3 linked regions of the Diceros bicornis minor genome follow. The protein of the gene in region 3 interacts with the protein of the main gene of each other region in a pairwise test. Links are inferred from orthologs where the notes say so. Each region holds a gene or a part of one and is shown on either strand. Other genes may lie near its edges.

The links. The genes of interacting proteins can lie anywhere in the genome.
Region 1: the proteins of PIH1D2 (region 3) and EIF4A2 interact in binary tests that used the Homo sapiens proteins (3 or more experiments, as listed by UniProt). The two-hybrid records come from large-scale screens. The link is inferred for Diceros bicornis minor from reciprocal best matches to the Homo sapiens genes PIH1D2 and EIF4A2.
Region 2: the proteins of PIH1D2 (region 3) and IGF2BP3 interact in a two-hybrid assay, tested with the Homo sapiens proteins (2 studies listed by BioGRID and IntAct). The two-hybrid records come from large-scale screens. The link is inferred for Diceros bicornis minor from reciprocal best matches to the Homo sapiens genes PIH1D2 and IGF2BP3.

Annotation. Positions count from the first base shown.
Region 1 is NC_080754.1:37,266,135-37,274,077, forward strand, and holds the start of EIF4A2 (eukaryotic initiation factor 4A-II), read right to left. Parts: upstream 3,006-7,943; 5' UTR 2,844-3,005; coding exon 2,736-2,843; intron 2,650-2,735; coding exon 2,517-2,649; intron 2,409-2,516; exon of another isoform or gene 2,340-2,408; intron 2,239-2,339; coding exon 2,099-2,238; intron 1,303-2,098; coding exon 1,134-1,302; intron 1,020-1,133; coding exon 910-1,019; intron 863-909; exon of another isoform or gene 738-862; intron 669-737; coding exon 525-668; intron 482-524; exon of another isoform or gene 304-481; intron 210-303; coding exon 72-209; intron 19-71; exon of another isoform or gene 1-18. UniProt on the Homo sapiens protein: ATP-dependent RNA helicase which is a subunit of the eIF4F complex involved in cap recognition and is required for mRNA binding to ribosome.
Region 2 is NC_080742.1:48,762,400-48,769,561, forward strand, and holds the start of IGF2BP3 (insulin-like growth factor 2 mRNA-binding protein 3), read right to left. Parts: upstream 3,006-7,162; 5' UTR 2,348-3,005; coding exon 2,173-2,347; intron 835-2,172; coding exon 774-834; intron 766-773; exon of another isoform or gene 1-765. UniProt on the Homo sapiens protein: RNA-binding factor that may recruit target transcripts to cytoplasmic protein-RNA complexes (mRNPs). This transcript 'caging' into mRNPs allows mRNA transport and transient storage.
Region 3 is NC_080746.1:24,219,102-24,226,381, reverse strand, and holds the start of PIH1D2 (PIH1 domain-containing protein 2), read right to left. Parts: upstream 3,008-7,280; 5' UTR 2,892-3,007; intron 2,098-2,891; exon of another isoform or gene 2,082-2,097; 5' UTR 2,056-2,081; coding exon 1,879-2,055; intron 1,282-1,878; coding exon 1,158-1,281; intron 775-1,157; coding exon 529-774; intron 198-528; coding exon 1-197. Other genes in the region: uncharacterized protein NKAPD1, read left to right, coding at 4,458-4,526, 6,374-6,474.

The DNA of each region.
Region 1 (7,943 bases), on a different chromosome or scaffold from region 3:
GTAGTCTGAATCCTGCTTTAACGAAAATACAAACAGCATTATTAACATTACTAAGTTAGAACACCTCTTACCAGAGCAGAAACTGTGAAGTCCCTGGCATGCATTTTCTCAGTGAGCCAGTCCACCTTGCGCCTTGTATTGAGAAAAATAACAGCCTGCGTAATCGTCAGTGTCTCATACAAGTCACAAAGTGTATCCAACTTCCATTCCTACAAGATTTCATATAGAAATTCAGCAGTCACTAAAATAATTTAGTTTCCAACTTACATTCATTAGAAATTCATCTATTAAGTTAATCTAAGGACATATTGCACCAAATCTTAAGACAAAGGACACTGGACATTAAGAAAGAGGTCCACCCCAGTCTTTACAATCCAGTGCAGTTACTTTTCTTCTTGTGTATACTCTGCTAGCATTATTACAAAAACCAAGATGTGATCCTAGTTTCTGCAATTTTAGCACAGTGCTTATACAAGAAGGATAAAAAAAAAATCTGGCTAACATTTTTATGTTAATTAAATTACCTCTCTTTCAACATTAATATAAAATTGTTTGATTCCTTCAAGGGTCAATTCTTCCTTTTTCACCAGAATTCTAATTGGATCTCTCATGAACTTTTTGGTCACTTCCAACACATCAGTTGGCATTGTGGCAGAAAGCAACACAACCTAAAAAAGACAATGATTATCTGTCAAACAAGTAATTATCATAATATTCAATTTCACAATACTCAAAAAATGTTTGAGACCAAGCGTCTGTCTTACTATGGAATTGTGCTAGACAGAGACAGTTATGCATCAATTGCTTTAAGCAGGGGGAACGACAATAAAACACTTCAGTTGTATTGTAACAGTACCTGCATTAATTACACCTGACCTCCGCTATAGGAGGGAGTGAAATAAAGCTCACCTGAATACTTGTATTTAATTTTTGGAAAATCTCATAAATTTGATCCTTAAACCCTCGGCTCAACATTTCATCAGCTTCATCCAAAACAAACATTTTGATCCATTTTGGAGCTGTTAAAAACAAAGTCATACTATCATCTCTCGATTCTCAGGAATAACATTGGAAATTTTTAATTTTAGCAATAGTAAAAACAAACTACACTCTCAACAGACAGCAATACTTACAAAGGTATCTTCTGTTTAACATATCAAACACTCTCCCTGGTGTACCAACAACGATATGTGGTGCTTCAGCCTGCAGTTTTTGCATTTCATTTCGAACATTGGTTCCACCAATGCAGGCATGACAAGTTGCTCCCATATAGTCTCCAAGTGCCAGAATTACCTTTTGGATCTAAAAAGCCAAAAGCCTTAATTATCATCCAACAGAATTACAAGCTCTGTGACTAATCTTCCAAAGCATAATGGCAAATATCTAGTCTGCAAACAGCTTTTATGCATGCACAGCACTCAACTACTTCCAAGCTTAAAATGCAGACTGATCCAACTGCCTCAAGATAAAATTCCCTTTACATGTCTTTTCTTGTGCCTTGTCAAACTTGGGATCCTGCTGCCCCAGATACCACCGAGGTTAAAGAACGAAAAACATTTCCTACATTTTCTCTTCATTGTGTAGGAAGATGCAAATAGCAAACAAGCTCTGCAATTACAGCTAGGACAAGCTGTTGATACTTTCAATTTTTCCCACAAGGTACTGTGACTTACATAACCTTGATCTTAAAGGAAAAAAGCGCCTAATTTTATTAGCAAGGTTTACTTCAAAGCCAATATAGCAGTGAGCTTTGAAAACACAGCATGCAACAGATGCATCACAAACTACTGAGACAGTCAAATGATAACATGTCACTGCAGTTTTCATGTTGCACAACTGCATTCAAACTCAAAAATGGGAACAGATCTAGTCCACCCTGGATAGCAAGCTTCCATTTCTCAACATTACACAACGCTGAAAAACATACCTGCACACCCAGTTCCTGCTGAACTTTCAATAAAAACTCCCTGCATGCATGGGTAGTTAAAAGGAGGACTCTGACAGGACCAATTTATACTAAGTTGTAAATTCTTCACAGTTGTGAAACCTGAAACCTATGCAACACGCAAGCAGTTTTTTTGAACTACACTATCAATACCTGTTGAGCCAGTTCTCTGGTGGGGGCCAATACTAGTGCTTGGGTCTCCTTGAACTCAATCTCCAACTGTTGCAGGATGGAAATAGCAAATGTGGCTGTCTTGCCAGTACCTGACTGAGCTTGAGCAATCACATCATACCCTAAAAAAAGTAGGATACATATTTACCGATCCCACATCAAACCGTCACTTCTAGTTCACACCATGTATTCCATTTGGAACATGAATTATGCCCAAATAATCAAGTGATCAGCAATGAGTATTCTCTTCATTTCAGGTCAGTCCCGAAAGATGATTGCCATCATTTCACTTAAAGGAATACAAACAGGTGCTAGTCCCCCAGAAGTTATCTCCCCTTTTATGGTCCAGGTCTATGTAGGACACTGAATTCATTTTTTAAAAAGTACCGAGTTCTTTTACCTTTAATACAAGGAATAATAGCTCGCTGCTGAATAGCTGAGGGCTTCTCAAAACCATAAGCATAGATGCCCCGAAGAAGAGACTCCTTTAAATTCATATCATCAAAGTTATCAACAATCTCATTCCAGTTGCTCTGCAAATTTAGAAGAAAAAAAAATTAATGAATGAGACGAACCAACTCACCTTTACAGAATTTCAAAATCCACCCACATCTCTTACCTCGATGACACCATCGGGGTCCATTCCCTCTGGGCCGCCATGTTCTCTGCTGACAAGAATAGTTCCGTTAGAGCACATCCCTGTCCCAAGCCAACTTAAACGGCACATCAGGGGGACAGCGCTTTCAGCACCTGTCACATCAAGTTAGCCTCCCCCGCACGTGTGCACTTCCTGAAAGAGCAAAGGAAGCTGGCGGTGCAGGGCACGTAACGTACCGGGCCTGCCCAGAGATTGAGCACCAGGGACGGCCAGAAAGGCCCCACGGACACCGGCCCTTCCCCCCAGGCCCGAGCGCCCGGCGCTCCCGTCTCGGCGGCGGCCCGTCTCGCGAGAGCTCCACGAGCTGAGCTCCGCCCCCTACACTGCGCAAGTCGGGTGATTGACGCGGGCCGAGGCCTGGCGAGGGCTATGCCAACGGTCCGCCAGGGCTCCGTCGCGGCGCGGCCCCATCCGCCTTCTGCAGTGGCGAGTAGGCGCCGCTGTCACCTTCCCCCGCCCCGCCTCAAGTCTAGGACCTCAACTCGCGCTGCTGGCCGCCCTTAAACCCTCGGCCCCGGTTACACTGCACCGAATGCGGGCTGCGCCACGCCTTTAACTAAACGTCGTGCTCCGCACGGGCAGGGAAACTGCAGAGACTTCAAAGCATCTTCAGGAGGAAAAATGATACCTTTAACCACTCCGTTTCCGTAGACTCGTTTCGTCTCCCCGCAATCCAGGCCCCTACCCACCGTGGAAGCTTCTCGAAGGACACAGGGGTATTGTACCCCAAGAAAACGCCTATGAACCCAAAGTTCCCTGCCTCCAAGCCATCTACTACAGTCTCCTCTGCAGCCGTATGACCCTCACCACAAAACACTACCGAAAAATAGCCATACCTGTTATAATCCGCGGAGCCACCAGACATGATCCGGAGAACCACTCAGCGCCCGACTGAAAAGACAGCAGGACCTCGCCGCCCGTTTTTTATAGGCTCGCGGCCGGAACCCGTTTTCTGCGGAGGAATTGACTCGTCGCCCTTCGGTCAGCCACAAAATTGTGACCCTGAGGTCCTTACCTCAGAAAATACCCCAAGCCTGTCGGTGGGAAAATCCAAATTTGGTTATTTCGCAATATTACAGGGTCGCTGGAAATCCCAGGACCCTGCGGGAAGTTTGGGACTCTTTGCATTGCGGCGGAAGAATATTGCAGCGGGCTGAAGCCCAGCCCCCGTTCCCCGCCCGCCGTGCTCCTACGGGGTTTCCGCGTCCCCGACGCAGAGGCGGCGCGGGGAGCCGAGCGGGACCGGGAGGCGGAAGGAAGCTTGAGGCGCGCTGGACGGCCGGACTTCCCAGCGGGCAAGTGGGACCGGTCTCGCTGTTCGCACCGGCGCTGGATGCCGCAGAGGCAGGCACGTCCGCATTCTGCACGGAGGGGAATCGCGTTATTCCGCTTGTTCCCGCCGCTGGTTAACGTGATGATAAAGAGCCGCCTGGCCTTTAGCCCGCGGGCTTAACATGCATTAAGGTCTTGAAAGTGTGCAACTCCTGCTCGGGGAAATGCCGGCCACCCAGCACGTCCCAGAAAATCTGGTTTACCAGACATTGTGCAGGGCGAGAAAAAATGTGTAGTGTCGTGTGGAAAGATCTCTGGAGTGGCCAACTCTATTCTCCTCATGTTGCCTCTGGTCTTGCTTTTTTAAAAAATGCTAATAATTTTAACAGGTGTAAGGAATGCCTGATAAAATCATTGTAAACTTTTGCAAATGGATAATACTAAGGAGGAGTAATTTTCCTTGTAACACAAGGTTTTAAATGGATGCTTCTGGCAGATACAGCTCCTTGCCGCTTTGGGACCCATCTAGTCTATATTACTCTTTTTTTCTGGTCTATATTACTTATTTTTTTTCAAAGCACTTTGAGTTTTAATTGCCTATATATAATGAATGCTGATTTATCGAAATTGAGAATACAACCCTTGCTGCTTAAATAAACTGCATGATTCTTTAAGCCCCAGATGTTTTCAACTGTAGCCCTAACCCAGGCCCATTGATAAAAACAAAACAATATTTTTAGTCATTAAACTTTAAAATACAATACTACCCACGCTGCAAGATATCATCACAAATACTCAGAAAAACATCTTATTAATTCAGAAGACCAACCTAAAGTCTGATAACTGGAAAAACTAACTTAATTTTCTATATTTGTATATTATATTTGATATGATATTTGGTTCTAAATACCACATATATTTTTTTCAAAATACCATTTATTTATTTGAAAATTATTATCGTGCCAGGAACTGTCACAAAAACTAATACCAAGAGATAGAGTGGACTTGGCTGTCAGTGATGCTGCTCCTTATCCCCCTGTAATGTTCAAATCCATATTTGAGGTAATACCAGACATTTCGGAGAATGGCAGTTAGGGATCTTGATTGTCTCGTCCAAAACCTACTAAAACTCTCCTGGGAATCTGAGAAACTGGAGAAAATATTAAATCAGAAAAGTGACCAACCATTTAGTCTCACTTGAGTCCTTAGGGTGAAATCAATCAACAATTAACACCTAATTGTTGAGTGTTTTCTTTAGGTTTAGCACTACTGCTACATGCTGTGAGGATTTCCAGAGTTTCTTAAGAGGAAATAATCAAGGGCTAAACTCTGGTTTATGTCACAATTGCTGAAGGGGTTTCAAGGTAAGAAAGCTTCATAGCCTAAAATCCAGTCAAAATCCAGACCCACATTGCCTGCAACTCTACAATGTATTTCTAATAAACGCTGTGCTTACCATGTTGCATACACTTACTAAATACCATTAATAAGTAATAAATGAGTTAAAGATCCAAAACATTCATATTAACAAAGTTTTGCATATCGACAGACACAGAGCATACACTTATGGTTAATATAAACTTTTCTACTTACCTGACATCTAAAATTAGATAGCCTTCTCAAAGTCAAGTATAAGTGCTTCTTTGCCAACCTGGAGCAAGTGAGGCCTAAAATTTATACTGCAAATGATGCTAAAAATCAGATTCTTTCCTTATGTGAGCCACCTAGTCTAGTTTTTTTTTTTCTTTAAATGAGGAAGATTAGCCCTGAGCTGACATCTGTTACCAATCCTCCTCTTTTTCCTGAGGAAGATTGGCCCTGAGGTAACATCCGTACCCATCTTCCTCTACCTTATGTGCGGGACGCCTGCCACAGCATGGCTTGATGAGTGGTCCATAGGTCTGTGCCCGGGGTCTGAACCCACAAACCCTAGGCCTCCAAAGTGGCGTATGTGAACTCAACTACTACACCACCGGGCCAGCCCCACATATTTAGTTTTGATCTTCAATAGCCTCAGCTGACAATTCTAAACCCATCTAGCAACTGTAAGCCAAGGTTCGCCAGAAGAATCAAGGAATTAGTACAAATTTGTTAGTATGACATGGAAAAACAATAACAAAACCTTGAGTATGCTTTATGCTGCTAGTGACATCTTCCTATGGAAAGTACCATGTATTCTCATTCAGGGGGTATTGTGTGCCATCTTGAGGTTCTTACATTATTTTAAGTCCATGAGTTGATATTAAGTGATAGCTACCCATTTAAAGCAGTATCTTGATAAGCTATTGATATGCAAAAGTTTGTGAAGGTATGTGTTTTGGATCTTTAACTCATTTATTACTTATTAATGTCATTTAGTCAATAATGTCAATAATAATAAATTATTAGTAGTAATACCATAGTAAAAACACAGTATAATATATGCTGTCCCTTCATTTATAATTTAAATGTTTAAAAAGAATTACTTTGAGCTGGATAGAGACTGTAGTGCTACTCACTTCTTTATTATTCGGTTGCTAGAGGAAATTAGAGGCTAGATTCTGCTTGAATATAAGCAGTGTTCTCCAAAGCAATTAGGAAAGTGGCACTCACAGCCACATTTTTCACAATGACTTTTAAAACCATTTGTATGAAGATAAGTAAAGACGTTAATAGCGTTGAAGTAAATGGAGAAAATTGAGGAGGACTGTGGAAGGGACTGTTGAACTATATAAGGACTGGGTTTAAATCCATTAATCCAAGGTTATTAAACTCTATTGTGGAACCAAGATATGGAAGTTTTTCTAGCTCCACCCTTGTGAAGAGTAAAGTAAGTGTACATTATTGTACTTCAAATCAGTACATCTAAAACTGTGGTATGCATAAAAATCAATGGGGAGATCTATTTGAAATGCAGATACATGTGAACTCAGCCCTCCCATTCAGATTCAGTAGATCTCATCTGAGGTGGGGCCAGCTTTTATTTTGCAGAATTCTAGACCTGAAAAGAAGTTCCAAGAATAAAGTAATGAATACCAAATGTTTGTCACGCTTACCAATTGTTAACAGTTTACTGCATTTGCTCTCTCTCATATTTATCTGTGACTTTTTCTGAACTTTCTGAAAGTTACGGACATAGTAGTGACCACTCCTAATCAGCACTACATCCTAAAAACAAAGATGTTCTCCTTTACTAAAACCACAAAAATATTATACCCTGCAAATGTACTATCGATACAATAATATCTACAAAACTATGTTCAACGTTTCTCAGGTGACCCAATAATGTTTTTATAGCCTTTTAAAAAAAGAATCTAGGATCCAATCAAGGATCGCACATCATATTTAGTGGTCCTGTCTCTTTAGTTTCTTTTAATCTGGAACAGTACCCCTGAAGCCGGGTACCTGAGGGTTACTGTAAATATTGAATAAGATTACCTTGTTATGAAAAGAAGTTAATCTTGTCAATTTCCTGTTTTCCTGTTTAACCTGAGGGGTAACTCAAGGGTCACAAGGATTTATGAGCTTGTTTTACAGAATAAAGAGAATGCCTTCAAGGACCACCTGAGAACCAGCCCCAGCTGCCATTGATGCCCAGAAGTCACATTGCCCTGGGGTTTATCAGGAGTGAAAGAAACACGGATTATTCCCTTTGCTTCTCTAAAACTCCTCCTGCCACACCCCTTACCTCCATAAAACCCCCTGCTTGCTTCTCTTGTTAAGGCAGATTTGAGAGAACCTATACTCCTACCTTCTCATTTTTGTCAATTTGAATGAACACTTCTCCATCTCCAAGCACCAATGTCTCAGTGATTGGCTTACTGGGCATCGGGCACATGAACATGAGATTAAGAGGTTCAGGATCACCTCCCCTTTGGAAAAGACTTTTTCTCATCAGAAATTCTATTTCTTATATAT
Region 2 (7,162 bases), on a different chromosome or scaffold from region 3:
CATGCTCTCCGAAAAGTACAATTCCCTGGCTTAAGTGGCACAAATCAGCGTTCACGATCTCTTGGTGGTTATTTGTAACCAAAAATATTTTCAGGGGCAGTGGGGTGGGGTTGGGGGGAGCGGGAGACCAAGGCGCATTACCAGAAACCTGTACAAACTCTGGAGTGACTGAAAGGCGCTTCTGGGCAGGAGAAGCCCAGGCGTTCACTCACGTGTTCCAATCCCGGCTATCGAGCTAACAGGGTAAAGGCAAATTCCTCTCCTCTCAGATGTGCGGATGGCCTCCCAGGCCTCTCAGACTCGTCGCCGCCAACTCGGGACAGAGAAGGAAAGACACGCCACCCCCGCGCGTGTCTGCAGCTGCTTTCGCCTATCCCGTACTTATAGAAGTGGAAGGGGGTTACGCATTGCTTCCAAATTCCTACAGATTCCCAAAAACTGCCCTCTGAGACTTTGATTTCCTGTTGTAGCAACTTAACCTACTCTGCCGGATAACATTTAGCTATGAGAGCTTCCTTGAGCGACTTGCATACCAATAACAACAATCCAGTGGCAGGGGCCACAGACAAGCCTTCCATTTCTTTGCAGTATTACCAACACACACACACAGACACCTGCCATAAACTTAAGTGCAAGAGAAAAAGACGAGAAACGCCAAGCCATATAGAAACCCAATAAGCATAAAAGGAAAAGACGTCGTTTTCAGCTGTGTTGGGTCTTTTCTCCCAAAAGAGTGAGAACAGAATCAATGAGAACATAATAAATAAGCTCACCTCTGCCTTTTTGGGACCGAGTGCTCAACTTCTATGAGTTTCCCGTGCAGTTCCACTTTACCTGCGAATACACAAGAGGTGGAAGACTGTTGGCCGAGTTTAGTGGCTCTCCCGGCCCAAAAGACCCGCACAGCCTAAGCAGCGACACAAGTGGCCTCCAGAGACCCCGAACAGCATCCGGACGCGGCTCGAAGCCGAGAGAGAAGCCCGGCACCTCACGGGTGGGAAGCAGACACCCTCAGGGCTGTGTGTGTGCAACTTACAGATCGGTGGGGAGGGGGATCAATGGGCGGACCCACTCCTTGGTAACATTCTACCCCCGCCCCGGCCTCCCCCGCCCACCTCTGGGGGTCGCCCAACCCCACAACACCCGCAGGACGTACGCTGCCCCTCTGCCCACCTCCCCGGGCCTTCCCATAAGACAGACCCTAGGGAAGGGGCTACGGTGCCTTTCTTCAGGTGGGGACGCCCGGGCCCTTCTCCCAGGTTCAAGGCGGCCGGGACCAGAGTGGCGGGAAAGGCTCGAGGACCGCAGGGTAGGCGCAGGAAGAGCGAGCGCCCCGAGACATCTGAGCACAAACTACGCCCGAAAGGCACGGGGCTCCTGGAGGGCCCCCGAGCGCAGCTTTCCCCGCCCCAGCCCGCCGCTCCGCCACGCACCGGCCCCCGCCCTCGCCGAGAGCGCCCCGCCACCCCCGGAGGCCGCAGCCTGTGGCCCGGGCGCGGAGAGCGGCGGGCCGCCCGGCACCGCAGCTGGGCTCCCTCCCCGGCGACCGCCGGCCGCCCCCGCCCTCCTGCCCCTCTCGCTCGTCCGACGCGGGGAGGTAGAAGGAGGAACCCAGGTCGCACTCGCCGCTTCCAGCCGGGTGGAGAGGAAGCGCGGGGCCGCCTGCGCGAGGCACCGGCCCGCGGCCTCACTCCGCAGCGGGGTCGAGGCCACTCCACGTTCTCCCACTGCCAGGGGCTGGGGCGGGCGGCGGGCAGCAAACCCCACGGCATCAGTAACGAGCAGAGAGAGGAAGGGAGGAGGAGGGAGAAGCCGGCGTTCGCGCCCGGCCCCCAAGGCCCGGCGTGCCGGAGCCTGGAGCATTCGCCCGGGCCCAGGCGGGGCGCGGGGCGAGCGCGGAGGAGCCGGCGCCGGCGCTTTCTGACAGCGCGTCGGCCCTTAGCCCGCAAACGCGCTGGGAGGGGAGCCGCGGGGGGCCGGGTCGAGCCCACGCTGAGGAAAGCGCCCGGACCCACGCCGGTGCGCGCCCGGGCCTCGCCCCCTCTCCGGGCCTCGGGCCCTGTGTGGACGCCCCGGCGGCAGCCGCGGGCCTGGCTCCCGGCCCCCGACCCCGGCAGGCCCGGGCGGCGCAGGGCTGGGGCAGGCGCCCCGCGGGGCCAGGCCGGGGCCCACCTGAAAGCGCCTCGATGGCCTTGAGGGCCCAGCTCTCGTCCGGACAGTCCACGAACGCGTAGCCCGTCTTCACCAGGAAGGGTCCCGACACCGGGATCTTGGCGTCCTTGAAGATACTTTCTAGGTCCGAGGGGACGGCGTTCTCGCTGAGGTTTCCAATATACAGTTTGTTCATTGTGAAGAGCGGTTGTTTAAAAAAATTGAGAGAAACGAAAAATTAAAACCACCCACAGTGATGGATGGATCCGGTGGGTTTTGTTCCCCTCGTCTTCTCGCCGCTAAAATACCCAAACACAGTCAGAACCAGGACAAGAACGAGGAGCGAAAAATCAGATCCAAGGGTTCTTGTTTTTCCTTCTCTAGATATAAAAAAAAAAGAAAAGAAAAAGCCTTGCTACAACCCAAACGCATCAACGAGTCTTCCTAACTCTGAGGAGGAGGCGGGATTATCGAGAAAAAGGAGGAGAGGAGGGGGGGGTCAACTACTTTTTGTCTCTTCCTCCCCAACCCCGTTGGCATAGGCCAGCGGACGGTGAAAATATCACACTACGTGAGGGCAGGCGCCGCCTCCCCATAAAAAACCCCGAAGGGTGACTGGCAGGAGCGAGGGGAGGAGGGGTGGAGGGAGGAAGGCGCAGGAGGCGGAAAAAATCCGCTCCGAGTGTCCGGCTTTTTGAATAAGCCACGTGTTCAAACTACAAATCAACGTCTCACGTGAGGAATCCCAGCTCCTCAATTAGAGGGGGTTTCGAGGGAAAAAAGAGCCAGCGAGAAGAGGAAGAGGGGGAGGGGAAATGAGATTGGGCGAGGGACCCTGAGAAGGGAAGGAGGAAGAGGGCAAAAAAATGCTAAAGGAGCCGCAGCCGGGGCGCAGAGGGGAGCGCGGCTCCGGGAGCTGATTGTCACAACAGAGTTTAGAAAGGGTTATCTGGTCGGGGCGGATCCTGAGGGGGAGGGGAGGAAAAGGGGAGGAATATTGATTTTTTTTTTTTTTAACGAGATAGGGGTAGGGGTGCTAACTAGGCAATTTCTCAGCTCTAGTTACCGGACTTTTAAATACGTATTCGATTTTTTAAAATAGGTAATTAACAAAACCAAGGAGTCACAATTCCGAACTCCCCTTGTGGCTTTGATGACATTAGAAGTGTAACCTCGGCAAAGCCGCGAGCACGTTTCCAGGGCTTGCAGGGGCGGAAACGCAGCGAGGGGGTGGGGTGCGGTGGGTGGGGGCGGGAGAAGCGGCAGAGGCGCCCTACCCTGTGCACCCTTCACGGGCCCGGGCCCCGGGGAAGTGGGGCGGCCCCGAGCCGGGCGGTGGGGGATGGGAGCCCGCGGCGTCCTGGGCGGGTGTCTGGGCGACACCTCCTCCGCCTCCGCCTGCGCTCGCGGTGGCTCTCGGCTTCGCGTTTGCCATTGGTTGCTCGCTTCAGACAAGGCTCTGGGATAAATGAGGCCGGGGGCGGGCTTGGCCACCGGTGGGGGAGGGGAGCGCAGGGGCGGAGGTTTCTGGCGTGGGTATGGGGGCGTCCCGGGCCTCGGAGGCCGGAGAAGAGAAGTCAGAGTGGGAAAAGTCGGTATTTAAACGGAAACCATTTCTTCCTGTAGTTTCCAGAGGAGGAGGAGTGGGGTAGGCTGGTACTTTTATTTAAAGAATTTTAGTTGGAGAACTTGGGACTCTTAAAACAGGAAGACTGCTCTGCGATACCCCTAGGTGGTATTTCGCACTTGAAATATTGTTCGAGTCTCTTTCTGCCTCTTTTTTGCCCACATTTGGCCATGAGAACCATTCATAATTTCCCCTGTACTGTATATAACGAGGACAATGGTGGGTGTTGGGGGGAGGGTCTGGGCCCAGTGGAGCCTTCTGGGCCAACAGACTGGACTGGAGACGAGGAATACGGAAATGAACGCCGTGCTGGGGTTCTTGTGGAAATCTCCAAGTGTCGTTTAATGATTGTGTACTCCACTCAAAGGCTTCATTTGCACCAGATACTTATGGTGCATATTTAACAGGTATTCCATGGAAAAGATATAAAATGCTTATTTTTAAAAAGTGAATGAAATTCTATATAGCATGGAAATATAAACAAGAATCTTTAATGTCTTGGTACGCTCTCTAGTAGAAAAATGTGTAATAGAAAAATATGGAGATTTACACTGAAACATCTTCAGTAATTATGACAATTGATATAGTTCTTTTCCCTTTGTCAAACCCTCACACGGCATTTTAAAGTGTATATTTTCCAATTAAAAGATGAATAGTAGATTAGTGTTTTAAATATGTGGGAATTATTGCATGATGTAAAGAGTATACACATTTTTTCTTTTAAAAGGAACTTATTTTAGAATTTTGTGTTAAGGAACCGGAAGGTGTCAGATCATCCATTTTAAATGCAACTGCTCTTTCTTACAGGTTTTTCTTTCCTGCCAAGCAAATCTAACTTTTTAAACGTAAACTCACTTTCACAATATTTTCATTCACATTTGATTTAGTGAAATGTCTTTAATTTTTGAGACGGAGGGGACAAACGTGTTCTTGTGTAATAATGTTTAGAATTGTATTATGAGCTCTATCTTGAAAGAACATTTTGGTGGTAAAATTTTAAGTTTATGGTTAGGTTTAACTTTTTAAAAGAGCTTACTTATTTTTCCTTTTTCATGTTTTTTTAAAAGAGAACTTTGGTTCTAAAAAAGAAAAGATATGTATTCTCCCTTTATGACTTCTGTGGTATTCAAAATGTAAATGTCAAAAATTATGAATTTATTTTCCATGTACCTGTTGCATGTGATCAAAAGGTATTTGGAGAAATATGCTTTTCATTCATTTAGTAATATTTGCTTTTCTAAATGCCTCTTTAAATTTTATAAACTAGTCTGATCATTTAACTTTTAGTAATTTTTCAAAAGAACAAATTTTATACGTTCAGCTTGCTTCCAAAGTCAATTGAATGGTGCTTTCTGGATTGTTGACTATTTGCTCTTATTAAAACTGAGATCTAAAGAAATATCTACTTCTAAAGCATGGGATAAATTGTTTTGTTTTTTTTTTTTCATAAATACTAGCCCTTGCTTGTCTGTCACTATCAAACAAATCTAACAGCTGGAATTTAAAACAAGTGTGTGCTATTTTGATGAAATATGTTCCTGGGACTCTTGTGAACTTAATCTGTGTATTATTGTAACACATTGGATACTCCATCTAGGACCTTAAAAACATACACGAGTTATATAAGCTCAGATATCAAAAAAGGAGGTGGATACAGTCTACTCCACTTCGAATCTTCCAAGTATTTGAGGAATAAGTATATACTCAATGGCTGAGTGAAAAAAAGCATGGGTAAATTGTTTTTTACTGGCATTTCAAGTACAAAAATATCTTTGGTGGATTTTCAACAATGAATGTAAGGTCAAACCAACTTCCAGTCTTTTAATGAGTCTCACATAAGAAATTAACCATGTACATGGGCTACTCCAGGTTCGTCCTGGAGCAGTTGCAGCTCCTAATTAATGTTAACGCCACGAAGGAATCCCACCCATTGTATGTGCTCTGATGCGGCTGAGCCCTTCCAACTGCAGCCTCTTTACTCTTTGAAGAGCTGCACCTCCTCCCTCTCTGCTGACCTGAGGGCAATAAAAATGTTTCTTATGGGTCAGTGTAATATTAAAGAGGAAAAACTGTTTAGAAGGTCGGTTACCGTTGCTGTATCCACAGGTTATGAGCGAAGGTTGAGCAGGTAGAGCAGGGGGAAAGGGCATTCTTGTTGCTACCCCTCCGAACTCCCAGCTGCCTCTGAGACCAGCCGAGAGCCTAAGTCCTTAACGCGGGTGGGCACACAATGCCCGCCGCGTCGCCTGGGCCTCATAGGAGGTGTTTTTAACATCCTCTCGTTCCTTCGAACAGCTCTTCTGGACTCTGATCTGTTTAAAGCAGATGCGTGATAAGTGGTAACCTGGTTCTGCACTCTCTTCGGAACATGCCTTCAGTTATTTTTGTTTAAAATCAAAAATAGTGCTCCAGGAGATGAGAAGATGGGGTTGTTTCCTTTTTCCCCTGGCTCTGCCGGGAGAAAAGAGGGCGGGATCCTTGCAGTTCACACTGGGGAAGATCCTTCGTCGTCCGCTTCCTAGCCTCGGAGGCCCTCGACCACTGGACTGCCCTGGCCCTGCCGCGGGACAGGCGCCTTCTGGCTCCGCCTCGGGTTCTGTCCCTCCGCGCGGAGCTGCGTGGACGAATTAGCCGTGGGGGCCGCGGGGAGCCTCTATCGTTCCCCTCACAGCACAACTCCACCTGAGGTCGTCCTTCCCCTGCGCGCGCCCGCCCGCGGGCCGCGGGGGCGGATCAAGCAGCGAGTGTTTGGCTACCCTCCCGAACTTCCGGCCTGTTTCGAGCGTGCAAGAGGCTCCCTGGTGCTGGGGGATGCTCGGTACCCACGGAGAAAGACCCCCGGGAGCCTTGCTGAACCCTGCGCCTTTGCCGGAGGCGGGGCTGGGCAGCGAGGCGGGTGCACAGGGCGCGCAAACGCAGCCCCGGGGCGGGGTTTCGCGCTCCACGGGGCCGACTCGCCGAGACCAAGTTGAGCAACCGGCGTGGAGAGAGACGCCGCCCCTAGCTGGGGAGGGGGCGGGGGGGGGCTTTTTCTCTCACCCGATTGGTGGACAGAGGAAGCCTATCATCGTCGGCTGCCTCCGCCGGAGCCGTTTGCTGGTTTCCATTCATTGGCCCCCCGAGCCGCCCCTGGATTTCCATCTTTTGTGGCGCGAAAATAACCCTTTGCTCCCTCTCATTGGTTTTGTTTTCTTGAGGGGTGAGATTGGCTTCTCCTGTTCGTGCTCTCATTTTTCCTGCCCATTAGCTGTGAGCCCCCAGCCCCAACCCTTAAGGAGGAAAGAGGGAGGTAACTAAGGAAGAGTAGGGAGTAGTTGCGTGCGCGAGTGGAGCCCGCCCCTTGGGCTGACCGCGTGGTGCCGGCAGAGACCCCTCCCTTCCCCC
Region 3 (7,280 bases):
CAGAGGTTTTTCATTTTGATCCACCACAATTTTTAATTCATAGTCTGGTGTCTTCATCTCCACCTGGATCTCTGCACTAGAAATCTCTTCTATCAGACACCCTGTTTTGCCCGAAACTTGGTCTTTTGGCAGTAAAAGTTGAGGAGAGTGATCTGGATTGCTCACAGTACTACTTCTTATCTGTTCAAGGGTTAGTTCTTGATGAAAAAAGGGGGGAAATGAAATCACACAATTAATCAACAACAGAAAATACTAACAGGCTATGACCTATAATAGTGTTAGCCAAGATGGCAGATAAAACTGCAGCTAAATTAGTTTGGGAATCTTAAATCAAAAGAATCTTAAACCAAAGAATCTGGTTTAAAAGTATACAGGATTTAAAAATCTTTAAGGACATGCTAATATCTAATCTTTATATTTTTCTATCTTAAGTTTCTTTTAAAATCGAGAGTTCTAGTTTGCAAAATATACACAGGATGCAGAAAAATTTAAATCAGTTTAATTTTCAGTTTACATTCATTAACTTACCCTTTCTCATTTTCTCTCTTAAATCTGTGGGGTCAGTTTGGATTCCCATCAGATTTTGTTTCATCCTTTCAATGCTTCCTTTTATTCTAAATTTGGTAATATGGTAAGAGTGTGAGAGAGTGAATTGGAGTTGCTCCTCAATGCATTTCATGGCCATCCATATTAATTGATCTTTCTTCACTTGGTCCTTTTCTGCTGCCTGGAGAACATCAGGATTGTAGGCAACATCGATGACTGTGTAAAGATCTGTGTGTGTAGTTCAGAGGGTGTGAGATGAAGACAACTTGTTTCACTAAGGATATTGTCAGGTAATATATTAAGCCATAATCCTGATGAAGCTAGAGAGCATAAATTTTATTCTTGTATTTTTCAGAGGCAATCCTAACGGTGCTATATACACAAAATTCCAATTAGGGCATTTTGTGGCATTTTATATGGGTTAAAAACAGCTCATATTAATAGAAAAATTAAACAGTATTCAATTTGCATAAAGGTACACTTAGTCATTAACTACTTTATAACCAAATAAAATATTTTACTTGTAATGCCTTTTACCAAGTAAAATCTGGTCCATTCTTATTCCCAATAAAAATTTTTAAATGTGTTTTCTCTCCCATAATTCTGTGTACCTGATGTCTCAGATATATCTTCTGGTCTTCCAATACTTAGAGGTACTGGATGAGTGGTTGACTGGGGAGCTGGGATCCTTTTCCACTGACATAGGTTGATAAAAAGTATTTTTTCTTTTGGTTTCTAGAAAGCAAATAATTTTGCATATCTCAAAACCTAGGTTTTTGTTTTTAAATATCTTAAAGGTCACAGAATTTTAAGAGTGAGAATTTTAGGCTCCAAGTAAGTCATTCCATGTATTAAAACTGTGTTTGAGAAATTATACTGTTACCTGATTTCCCCAAAGCTGCTGGCTTTTTATCAAGAATCCAGTGGCTGCTCCCAGAGGAACTGGGAGGAGGAAGGGGAACTTGATCTAAGCAGCTGTTCCAGGTGAATTCGTTTGACCCTGTTTCACCACTTCCTTTCTTCCTCCACTAAATAAATTCTCTTTATTTGAAAAATCTCCAACTCTATGATTCTCTATTAAATCATCACATTACTCTTTGTTTTCATTCTAGCAGAAAAATAGCTCATTTTGAGATCTCCAAAATATATCAAACATGAATTTCCTTTTCTTACTCCTTCAAAACAATCTTCCACACTACTGTTTCCACTTAGAGTGGCAGTTTCCGTCAAGTTTTCTTGTGTTAAAGTAGCAATAGCTAAGGGTAAGCTATTCTCCAGTTATTTCAGGATCATTTCATTCATTCCCCATCCCTGGGCACCAACTCTACATACCAGGATCCTGGTTTGTAGACAGAGCTGCGGTTCTGGGGCAGCCCAGAGTTGTTTCCCCTCTTTCAATTGCTGTTGAATGAACTTCTCATAGCTCTCAGGATTACTTTCAGCCAGATCATCTAGGAGGTTCCAGAATTGAGTAACTTGGCTGAGCAGACCCTTTGAGGATGACTCCATGATTCCAGTGAATAGGCCTCTTACGTCTGTGGAAAGACTTGACTTAAGGGAAAAAAAGTCTTTGTAACTATTGATTCATTTCTTCTTTTAGGGGAGGAGGAATATGTCAGGAATTGTTTGGGTGAAGTTAGCAGCTATCCTTAACACCTGTGTCTGAAAAAACTGGGCTCAGCACCACTTTATCTTTTCCTTATTCTCTAATTATCTAGTAACCCTTCCTAAATTCTCAAGTTGTCCTCTCAAATAAGGCCTTACCTCTGCCTAGACCCTCACAAGCCCTGAGGGGACAGAGTAGTCATTTTAAGTCTGGACTTCCTGGTGATTTTCTCATTCCAGTACCTGGGCATTGGCTGACTGGTACCTATCCAGTCCTGAAATTGCCAGGGGTGTGTGTGGAGTGAGGGCCACATGCGACTTCCTCAATCCTCAGCACAGCTTAGTATTTAAAAGTATGGACTCGAGAGCCAGAACGCCTAGATTCCAATCGTAGCTCCACACTTACTAGGTGTGTGACCTTGAGAAATAATTTATATATGTGCCTCAGTTTGTTGTCCCCCAAATGAAGACGATAATACCTATCTCATAGGGTTATTGTGAGGATTAAGTAAGCTAATATAGAGAGGCTGAACACCTGGTTAACACTATATGCGTGTAATAATATCCTCTCTGACTGGAGATAACCTCCCTCGCACCCTCCTCCCTCACTGGAGAGATGTCCCACAGCATCCACAGAACGAGAAGAAGAGGAGGTCTGGGCTCTTCGAACACTATATTAGGATTAGACTAAATGGGAAACTTAACTAACCGACAACCATTCCGGAGGTCGCCCGACTCACCTCTTCTCTCAGTTCCTTGACAAACCGCTACACCTGTTACCAGGGTAACCAGGCTGGGTACAGCCTCTAATTGGGTCCGGGAAGCTGCAGACAGAAAGGTCTTTTTACATCCAGTTCCGGAGGGATCTCCCTCTTCTGATGCTGAGCTTGCTTTTCAGCTGAGCCCGACCCACTTCTTTTTCAGGAAGGCGCCCGTCTCCCTTCTGCACCTGTCGACCTCTAGCGCGTCCTGGAGACCCTCCCTGTGGGAGTCTTTTTGGGTCTCCTGTTGGTGGGAAGAATTTCTCAGGAGCACGACTTCCGGCCTGAAAGGGAAGCCTGCTTCCTTTCCTCCCAGACCGCTTCCTCCCCCCACCCCCGCCACGCGAGGCTGCGGCGCACGGTATGGGTGTGTTTGTGTGCATTTGTGTGGGGAGGGCGTGTGGAGGGAAGGTTACCGGGAGCTCTGTGGCCCCAGGGGAGCAGGGATCCCGGTGACAAAAATGGGGGTATTTTCTCTGTCTTCCAGTTGGAAGACTCAACTCCCCCTTCAGGCACTTTAGATACTTCTTGGGACCCAGTGGACGGTCATACCCTTCCAAAGCGTCCCCATCCTTTCTGGGGAGCGAAACCCACCCCCTGGGTCCGTCCCAGAGGAGCGTGAGCGGGGCATGCCCCAGCCGCCCCGACCGTCCGGATCCCTCGCCGGCGCAGCCTCAGGCCTCAGTCCGGAGAGGTACCTGCTGTCGGCCTGGGCTGGGGGAAAGGCCGCCGCGGCCTGGGCCGCGGGTGAGGGCAGAATAACCGGTGGGAAGGCTGCGTTTTCACGAAGGACTCGGGTGAAGCTGCAGAGCTGCCTTTGAGCCCTGACTCCTTGGCTTCCTGGGTCGGAGGAGATCTTGTAATGGAGTGGTTCTTCGTCTCACACTAACAAGATGCCTGATTTCCTCAGGATCGAGGGGTGAGTGAGCGGGGGGATGGTTGCACAAAGCCCCTGCTAGTGCACACGTGAATATCCCTGTCAAAATAGAAAATAAAATTCCCCTAGGTGGAGAAATTGAGGGCATCTCTGCATTCGATGTTTTTCGGCGTCGGTTTTTGTTACTGTTGACATTTGTGGTCCCTGACACTCTCAAATCTAGGTATTTGCTTCATCGCAAACTAATTTTGGGATGCGAGAGTTGATTTCTAATCAGGACCTTGTTTGCTTTGGGCTGTGTGGCCTGGAGCAAGTTATGGCTTGAAGGAAATTTCATCCATAAAGTAGGAATGAAGATACTTGCTTCATATAAAATATAGAGTTATTTTGAGGATTAAATAAAATGATACTTGCTTTTGAAAGCACTTAATTTTGTGCAATTTCAAAGAACTCCAGTGTACATTATCTCCTTTCATCCTCACATTAGTGTGGTCAGGCTTTTTCCCCTTGTAATGGTGAAGGAAAAACTGTTCCTCAGGATCTCTGACTTCGAGTTCAGTGATCTTTCCTTTACCTTATGCTTCTTTATAGCATTGTAATAAAAGACAAGGTGTTAAAGGGAATTTTTATTATTAAATGTTATTTATTGATTCATTTCAGATTGAAGAATGTCCCGGGTTCCATTGGGGAAAGTCCTCCTGAGGAATGTCATCCGGCACACAGATGCTCACAATAAGGTGAGAGGTAGAACCTAGTTATTCCTCAGCATTTAATGAGGGCATGCAGTGTGCCAAGCATTATTTTGGTACAGTTGGGAGATACAAAAGATGAATAAAATAGATAATTATAATACTATTTGATAAGTACTTAGAGACGTATACAAAGTGCTTTAGTGCACTGAGGAAGGAATAATGAAATCTGCCTTGGGGAATTAGGAAAGGCTTCACAGAATGGGTGGTATTTGAGCTGCTGCTATTTGGACTAGTTCTTGATGAACAGGTTCAAGTTTACCAGGTGTAAAAGATCATTCCAGACAGAACACCATGTACTAAGATGGCAACAAGAAAGAGCATGAAGCACTTGGGGCATGGCAAGAAATTGTGTGCATCCAGAAAATAGGGAATGTGGGGGATAGTGACAGAAGATGAGGCCCGAGTGCTAAATTACAGTTGGATTATGATGCTTGGAGATTAGACTTTCTCCTCTAGGCAATAAAGAAACCATCAAATGATTTTAAGCAGGATGTGACATAATTGCATTTGTATTTTAGAAAGATGATTTGTTAGCTGGGTAGGGGTTAGATCAGAAGGGTGAAACAGTAGAGAGATCAATTAGGAGGTAATTACAATGTTCCAGGTGAGAGATAATGAGGGGTTCACATGAAAGCAGTGATACTAGGGATGAAGATGAGGAATTTAGGAGATAGACTCCAAAGAACTTGGTGACTTATTGGATGATAATGATAATTATAGAATCAAATATAAACACCTTGTGTTATATATATTGACTGGGTGAATGATGATGCTATTAATTGAGATAGGGAACAAAAGAAAAGGGACAAGTATGATGGGAAAGGTAATTAGTTTGCTTTTGAATATGTTGATGGTGAGGTGCTTATAGGATGTCCAAAGAGTTGGAAATTCAGACTTGGAGGAAAGGAGAAAAGTTGAGGCTGGATGTAAAGGTTTGGGGATTATTGATATACAGGAATTGATAGAGGTCATGAGAATAGATGAAGTCACCTAGGAGAGCACATATGATGAAAAGAGGGCCCAGAATCCTTGTTTGGTTTTCTTTGGTGAACTGTACAACTCCTAGTTTGATCATAAGTGTTATTACTATCATATCTCCTGATATTTTGATTGTGAGTGAGGGTATAACTGTTACCTAAGCAGCCTCTGTCATCATGTTAAACCACCCCTGGTTGGATAATGAGCGTAGATTTGAAAGTGGGGGCTAAAAGAGATAAATCTACCACAGATTTAACAAAACATTACAGAAAGACTTAGAAATAAAATGTATTCTTGTTTTTGGGCAATTGTAATTTGCTTTTCAGGAAATTCTCTAGCAGTTCTCATTTGTTCTATTTTGTTTTTAACAAAAATTATAATGTTGTGAGAAGAGACTTAGCCTAGAAAGTTTAAAGACCTGTCCTTACTAGCTTTTTGACTTTGATAAAATCTCTGAGCTTTTGTTTCTTCTCAATAAGATGTAATAATGGTACCTGCTTTGTTTTCCTCATAAGATTGCTTAAGGTTCACTTGAGGTGATACAATTAAAATCACAAAGCATTTTAGAAACATAAGGATTATCATTTGCTAATTGCAGCATAACTGCAAAATTTATAAGGTAGTAAGTGTGTCTATGCAGGGGTTAAAAAGTTCTGTTGCTGCAGAATTCTACATATTTGAGATTTACTGCGTCAGATTGTTTAACCACTCTAGAGAAACCAGAATTTGCTTCCCACGTTCCTGATTGTAACCCAGTCTGTAATCCAATAATTAGTGCAGACCATATTTTCAATTACTTTTCTGTGTTATTTTTGTTAAATTATTTTTATTTCTTTCCTTTTAAAAAAATCTAGATTCAGGAGGAATCAGATATGTGGAAAATAAGAGAACTGGAGAAGCAGATGGAAGATGCTTACCAGGGGACCAAAAGGAAAATGTTACCCAGCAGTTCAAGGTGAAGTTGCAGCTCTGAGAACCATAATAATTCTCATCTTAGTCAGAGTCATCACCTTTTGTTTAAAAACACTTCAGTGTGCTTAAGATAGATGAATTCAGTTCAGTGAGTCCTTAAGCCACCTCTCTTTCATAAATCTAGACCCAAGCATAAAGGTAATGGCTGTGATGCATATGGCCTCGTTCTTTGTACTTGTTTGCAATGGAGAATTTAAAAATTCTGCCTTGAACAATTCTAAACATCTAGGATTCTGTGAATTCTGACTTAGCCTGATGGCTTTTAACTCAAGATTTTCTATTGGTATCTTATGGTCACTTAGCTGATCATTCACTCCCTTCCCCTATTAGTCTTTCATTCTCTCTCTCAGCCTTTTTTTTACCCCATCTACTTACTATCTTCGCCAAGTCACACGGCCTTTCATATTACCTTCTTAATAATTTGCATCTGAATATGAAGGATTATGCAGGCTTTGTTATCTTACCTGTGGAGGTATAGGAACGTCTGAGTATTGGGGACATCTCTTGAGCCTCATATGCCTGTTAGTTTAGAGCTGTGTGTATGAAAAATGACTATAAAATAATAATGCTGATTTCTAAAGCCACCCAGGGAAATAGTTAATAGTTAAGATATTTAAGGAGAGTGAGTGTGCCTGCAGAGTATGTGGACTTTGGGGTGTGACTGGCTGTGTGTGAAGGGTTTCAGACAAGAAAGTATTCTTGGTATCCACGGTAAAGAAGGCAGAGTCTCAACACAAAAATAAATATCTTTTCAGTCTGTTTTCTGAAAAGATGGTCCTTTGAGAATTT